2 linked regions of the Danio rerio genome follow. The protein of the gene in region 1 interacts with the protein of each later gene in a biochemical or structural test. Links are inferred from orthologs where the notes say so. Each region holds a gene or a part of one and is shown in the gene's direction. Other genes may lie near its edges.

The links.
Region 2: the proteins of rab27a (region 1) and sytl1 form a complex in vitro, tested with the Homo sapiens proteins (3 studies listed by BioGRID). The link is inferred for Danio rerio from reciprocal best matches to the Homo sapiens genes RAB27A and SYTL1.

Annotation. Positions count from the first base shown.
Region 1 is NC_133193.1:3,156,847-3,160,694, forward strand, and holds part of rab27a (ras-related protein Rab-27A), read left to right. Parts: intron 1-309; coding exon 310-433; intron 434-3,595; coding exon 3,596-3,797; 3' UTR 3,798-3,848. UniProt on the Homo sapiens protein: Small GTPase which cycles between active GTP-bound and inactive GDP-bound states. In its active state, binds to a variety of effector proteins to regulate homeostasis of late endocytic pathway, including endosomal positioning, maturation and secretion.
Region 2 is NC_133194.1:45,489,615-45,493,562, reverse strand, and holds the start of sytl1 (synaptotagmin-like protein 1), read left to right. Parts: upstream 1-1,599; 5' UTR 1,600-1,717; coding exon of another isoform or gene 1,718-1,722; intron 1,723-3,613; exon of another isoform or gene 3,614-3,688; 5' UTR 3,689-3,699; coding exon 3,700-3,815; intron 3,816-3,948.

The DNA of each region.
Region 1 (3,848 bases):
TGTAATAATGTTTTGAAAATGATTCTAATAATATAAATATTTTTTGATGATACAATCATAATTACAGCTATACTGCATTTTAAAAAATAATAATTATAAATGGTTTTAATGTAATTTTTTTTGAGAAAGTGAAACCATTTGTAAGCATGTATTTGATTATAATTACACAATTGTAATTGAAATTTTCTTTAGCTCAATAATAATTTCATGAAAATAAGAATATTGTTATTTTATAACTATTTATTATTTTAAATAATTGTCATAAATATATGATAGTTGAAAAATTACTTGTTGTAACGTGTCATTCAGGTCAGCTGCAGACACATGCGTACTGTGAGAATCCTGATATCGTCTTGTGTGGAAATAAATCAGACCTGGAGGAGCAGCGTGCCGTCAAAGCGGAGAACGCAAGAGAACTGGCAGAGAAATACGGGTGAGAAACTCCAGATGCTTGTTTCTGTCACATTCAGCCAATACTGCATTAATATTGACTCAACACCTCATCAGAACTCAGTGTTTATCAGCTAAAAGCATTTGATTTCCTTTGCAACCGAGAGTTAGGAAACAGTCATGATTTTATTAGGATTTTATTCTGCACATTTTTTTATTGAACTCAATAAATTGGGTTAAAATGTAAACAGCTCCATTTTAGATTAGAAAAATGAAAAATAACATAACCCAATAACATTAATTTAAGTCAGAAAATTAAGAGTCTGCTTTGATTTAATTGTCAGAAAGGAGACTTTTTGATTTTTTTGACAGTCGTAAATTAAACGGCTTCATTTATAGTATCACTCAGTGGTTAGCACTGTGCCTTCACAGCATGAAGGTCGCTGGTTCGAGTCCCCACTGGGCCAATTAGCATTGCTGTGTGGAGTTTGCATATTCTCCCTGTATCGGCGTGAGTTTCCTCCGGTTTCCCCTACCACAACCACATGCACAGTATGGGAATTGATGAACTAAATTGGCAGTAGTGTATGTGTGTGAAATGAGTGTATATGGATGGTTCCCAGTGATGGATTGCAGCTGGAAGGCCCTCCACTGTGTAAACACATGCTGGATGAGTTGGCAATTTATTCCGCTGTGGGGACCCCAGATAAATAAGAATGAATTAATGAATTTATTGGATCTGCTCTATTAAACCTTCTTTTTTAAAATATTGCTTTCAGTCAGCTTGCCTTTGTCCCAATATATATATATATATATATTAGAGCTGCACGATTCTGTCTAAAATGAGAATATAAAGTTTGACTCATAGAGGTGTAGAAATATTATCTGAGCTGATATTGTGCTGTGTTCAGAAGGTGCAGCGTCTCGAAGCGTGTTTGTTTTAAGGGCCGAGTCTCCAGTGTTTGCCTAAGATGAGGACGGCTCTTGTTAAATGTCACACGCTACACATGCGGGATACCGAAAAACTAATATTGACTGTGTTAATGTGCGTCTTCAGTTCGGACAAGCTGAATGCAGGATTATGCTCCGTATAGCAGCAGTGATCACTCACTCACACACCCTGATACAATTTATCATGCAGCTGAGTGTGTGCTGCTCTCATGAAAACGTCAGGAGAATTATGTGTATTTGCTCTTGATTATGTTTAGAAAAATTATGCATGATGTAACATTTAATAGTAAAAACTTTGTATTATATTATATTATATTATATTATTTTATATTATGTTATTTAGGATTATAATAATTAGGATTATTTTTAGAAATTTCAGTAAAAATAATGTTTATTAATAATAATTCTTATTAATATGTTCTTTTAATTAGGGAAATTAAACATGTATATTTTTTACATTGCTAGTCAAACGTTTAGAATATTGAGGACTATTTTTGAAATATCTGTACAACTCACTAAGGCTACATTTATATAATGTTTTTTCTATATATTATTATATAATATTTTTTATCTAAACATTTTTATAATTTTTATTTATGATTTATAATGTTGTTTTTAAAATTATTACTTCAAAATGCATTTATTATCACTTGTTTTTATATACATATATTAATCGCACGGTTATTTAAATAAAAAATTAAAATGTTAAATATTTTTTAACATAATGATTTTAATGAATTAATAATAATAATAATGATTGTTATATTCAATTATAAAAAGAAAAAATGTATATTTGTTACATTGCTAGTCAAATGTTGAGGATATTTAAGACTTTTTACATACATCTTATCAAGGCTACATTTATATGTTGTTTTAATTTATATGATTTATTTATATATATATTTTTATATTATATAAAATTATTTGTATTAATTACGTTTTTAGAATTATATATATATATGTATGTATATGTATATATATATTCTAAATATTTTTTATTTATATAATTTATGTTGTTTATGTTGTTTTTAAAAATATTACTTCAAAATGCATTAATCACTTGTTTTTATATACATTTATTGTCACTCGGTTGTTTAAATAAGAAATTTAAATGTTACAATATTTTTTAACATAATGATTTTAATTCATAATAATAATAATAATAATAAAATTAATATTTAAAATTAGGGAAAAAAAGTATATTTCTTACATTACTAGTTGAAATTTTGGAATATTTAATACTATTTTTAAAATATCTGTACATCTTATCAAGGCTACATTTATGTTTTTTCAGACTTTTATGTTTTATTTATATTTTATTTTTATATTATATAAAATAATTTGTTATAATTAAATTTTTAGAAAAAAAAATATTTTTATAATGGTCATGAAAATAATACAATAAAAAGGTAAAATATATTTTTACATATAATAATTGTCATTAATATTAACAACAATAATAATACATACACACACACACACACATATATATATATATATATATATATATATATATATATATATATATATATATATATATATATATATATATATATATATATATATATATATATTTTTTTTTTTTTAGGACAACAAAAGGGGTTTTGCATTTATTTTTTGTTATTTTCTTTTTAAATGAATTTATTAAATATATAAATGATACAATGAAATTGAGTCGGAAATAAACAACAATATATAGTATGTATGAAATATGAAGTAATTAGTTTGAAACTGTATTTTTTGAGGAGTATTTCTGTTTAACTGTTGTGTATTAACAAAATGTGAAAGAATTTTCAAAAATTAAAGTTAAAATGCCAGGCTTGACTCAGATTTAATTTTTGTTGTCTATTTAATAATTTCTTTTATGGGGATTTTAAGTATTGAGTCAAGTAAATAAATTCCATACTGATTTCTTTTCAGACATAGTAATTAAAAAAGTAATTGCCATAAGGTTACACCATGTAATTGTGTTTATGTTTTTAAAGTAACATGGCCAGCACGTGAGATCAGTATTGTGATTTATTTCTAATTTATATATTTAATTTTCGTAAAAATTGTAAGAAATATCATCTTTGCAACATGCAACAACATTTTATTCCAGTATCATTTAGCCCTAATTTAAATACAACTGTAATGATGTTCTCCGTAGTTAATTAATAATTTGAAGTAATGAACTGGTGATCAGCATGTGATTTATGCTCATACGACTGTAATGATGTACTCTCAATGTACTGAAGTGTGTTTTTCTCCTCAGCGTGCCATATTTCGAGACGAGCGCGGCGAACGGTGAGAATGTGAGTCGTGCGGTGGAGGTTCTGCTGGATCTGATCATGAAGCGCATGGAGAGATGTGTGGATAAATCCTGGATCCCCGACGGGACAGTCCGCAGCAACGGCCACAGCACCGCCGACCTGACAGAACCACACGACCCCGAGCAGAGCAAGTGTGCATGCTAATAATCAGCGTAAACCCCACGCTTCACTCTGTTTTAATCTCAGTGATGGACC
Region 2 (3,948 bases), on another chromosome or scaffold:
TCAGAACCTATCTTTTTTTTTATTGTTTATTGTTTCGGTTGAACACAAGAGAAGATATTTCGAAGAATGCTGGTAGCTACCCATTGAGTTCCATAGTAGGGAAAACATTATTATTGAAGTCAATGAGTTCCAGCAACCAGCATTCTTCAAAATATCCTCTTTTGTGTTCAACAGAAAAACAGAAGCTCATAAATGTTTGAAACTACACAAGAGTGAGTAAATAGTGAGTCATTTTTGGGTAACCTGTCCTTTTAAACCAACGGCTTCAACAGAAGTTAGTTCAATAGAGAGTCGCTGCAATATGATGAATAGTAACACTTTAGTTTAAGTAACAATTCACACCATTTACTACTGGCTTATTACATGCCTTTTAAGATATGAACTGTTTATTAGTACTTATAACATATGATCTTATTTAACATCTCTAATCCAACCTTAATAACTATTAATAAGCAGCCAATTAGTAGTTTATTGAGCTAAAAGTCTTAGTTAATGGTTTGTTAGTAGCGTGAATTGTACATTTAAATAGAGTGTGAGCAAATTTGTCATCCAAGCCATATTAATCAACCTTCAATCAACAGACGCCACACACACGGGTCAGTGAACAACGTATGTCTCTGTCTGTCTGGTGTTTTTCTAATCTTCTGATCGTGTGTCAGTGTGTGTTTTGTAGGTGTGGGCTGATAGAGACTCCAAACAGGAACTGACTGTAACAGACATGAGCACAGAGCGTACACATTTTTGTTAATTGTAAAGAAAGACATTTTTTTGTGTTTCTTTCACAAAACCTATGACATATTTATGTGCACATAACCAAAAAGTTGTCTGTGTATCATCACCTTCACAACGTTTTCTCAGAGTTAAGTTTTATTTTTAATTAATAGTAATTACACTAACCATTTCTTGTTGTTTGCACGATTTCCAATGAGATAAATACTATTTATATATATATATATATATATATATATATATATATATATATATATATATATATATATATATATATATATATATATATATATATATATAATGTTGTTCAATAATATATTTGTGCATAGACATTAGATTAGTCAGTATCAAAGCAAAAACTGGATCTAATCTTAAAAAAAACTGAAAATGAGTATGCCTAAATTAATACGTTGGGGAAAATATGAAATAAAGTTTTAATACACCGGATAAATCAAGAGAAACACAGAAATAACAAACCATTGGTTGAAATTTTGTAATTTGGCTTTAGTCAAGAGCTTTTTTTTTCAATAACTTGTTTGAATTCACATGTGTTATCTTCCTATTCCTAAATATAATAGGTTGCCAAACTCTTATTTTAATAGATATAACTGTTTAATAAAATTGTTTTGTTTAAATCCACCAAAATCACAGAGAAATTGATTAAATATCATTTTCAATAAATATATATAATAAACAATTACAATACAAGGTCACAATTCAGAGAGGGGAATGTCAAAAATACGAGATGTAACAGTAAAACTCATAATGTCAGAACTTTGAGTGTGTGTGAGAGAGAGAGAGTAATTAGTAAAATAAGCGCGTGCTCGGTGGGAATCCGGTTCGCATTTTGCTCTGTGCCCAAACGAGGGCGGGTGTGAAAGTGCCAGTCCTGCCAAATCAGACACAAATGAGTGTCTGTTCACAAACTGACGACAACTAAACTTGGGAAAGAAACAAACACCGGAATAAACTATGCAGAAGACATTAGATGAGGTAAAAACATAACATACTGTCGTTCAAAGCAGAATTGTTCGCGTCTTATGGTACTTTTTCACTTCTGATTTTGATGCGAATGAGAGTTGACAGGTGCGACTCCATCTGTTCATTTCTCCTCGAGTTTTTATAAAATGTACTCACCGAGAGTCTTCAGTAACTTGATTAACTGGAGTTACGTTGCATTAGTTTATGTTAATGTAATTTTGTGGAAGCAGATAAACACTTTCTTTGCGAATTGGTAAGCAATTATGTTTACTTTTGTCGTTTGGCCCGGTTTGTTGTGCGCATGCGCGATTCAAGCATCGCTCCGTCTGTCAGTTCACCTGAAATTAAGTTTACTGCTGCTCGTAAACATTTATAATGAAATCAACTATTGTTAGTTTCATTTGGACACTAAGATAAAGCTTGGAACAAATAATAGGAAATACAAAAAAATTAATGAAATCTATTGTACAGCTTTGCATACATTTGAATGAGTACATTAAATGCATGTGATTTTAGTGGTGAGGAAAACAAATTAACTTTGGCTTACCATCGTCAAAGTTTTCGACAGTTTTCGTAGAAAATTGTAATTTGTGGTAATATATATATATATATATATATATATATATATATATATATATATATATATATATATATATATATACACATATAATAAAAAATATATACACACACACACACATATATATATATGTATATGTATGTATGTATATATATATATATATATATATATATATATATATATATATATATATATATATATATATATATATATATATATATATAGTATGGGGAAAACAAGTATTGAAGTCACTGATTATAAAGTTTCTGACAAGGAGAATTCCCCTAAAAATTTACATTGGCTGTGAATGAATGTATAGACCATTTTGAGGAATGTAAACAATAACAATGATGTATATATCCTGATGTATTTCCTCTTTTATATTTTTAATTTCCATAGCTTACGATAATCCAAAAAGGTCAAGATATTGATAAATAATGTTATGATAGCTAATTTAACGTGAAAATAGGGTTGAATTGCCTCTTGTTACAGTTATGAAATAGTATGGTGACAAGCAGGAAATGTTCAAGGACCAATTACATTTCCACATTGAAATGGTCAACAATTACCAGATCTTTGAGTCAAAAACAATAACAATAAAACAGTTTTTTTTAAATAAATACCAAAAAAAATCATCTTGGAAGGATTGAGGGTGGATAAATTAACAGAAAACATTAGTCTCTTTTATATAACCGTGTTCTTGCAGCAGTAAGAACATGAATGAACATCTGGAGAACATGAATGAACATTAATGCAGGACCATAATAAACATTCATGCAGGTTAGAGCTCAAAATACTGGTTATAATTTCTTGAAATTGGAATTTATTTTCTGAAACGTAAAGTTATAGTTTAGTAAATTATTAGCCCTCCTGTGAACTTTCTGTCAAGTATTTTCCAAATGATGGTTAACACAGCAAGAAATTTTAAATATAAAGAAATCTTCCTATAATATTTTTCTCTTGGAGAAAGTCTTATTTGTTTTATTTCAGCTAGAATAAAAGCAGGTTTTAATTAAAAAAAAAAAACATTTAATGTCAATATTATTAGCCCCCTTAAGCAATATTTTTAAACTGCACTTATAAAAATGTCGAGTAAAATATTATGTACTGTCATCATGGCAAAGATAAAAGAAATCTGTTATTAGAAATGAGTTATTTAAACTATTATGTTTAGAAATTGGGGAAAAAATATCCAGTGGGGCTAATGATTCTAACTTCCACTGTATATTCACAAATGTAAACTCATTGTAAAGTGTTACCATTAATCCTTTATGTGTGTTTTATCACAATACCAAAACTCTTGTAGTTCCCATATATTTCTATCAGCAGCTCTCTTAGGTGTGGTTTCTCATGAACCACATCTACATCATTATCCTAATAACCCGGTGTGTTCGGCGTCAGGTGTGTCTGTAATGGAAAAGGAACCTGTACTAGATCTGTGTCACCTGACGGAGGTGGAGCAAACGGTAATCCTCAATGTTTTGCTGAGAGATGCTGAACTCCGCAGCCGAGAGGAAGGTAGAGTCCGGTCAGTATGTGCACATTACTGGACTAATTTGCAAAATATTCAGTTGTGTGAAAAAGTTAGGACACCCTATTCAATTACAAATTTTCCATATCAGAATAATATGTGTAAAAAAACAATCTTTTTGCAGGAAAAT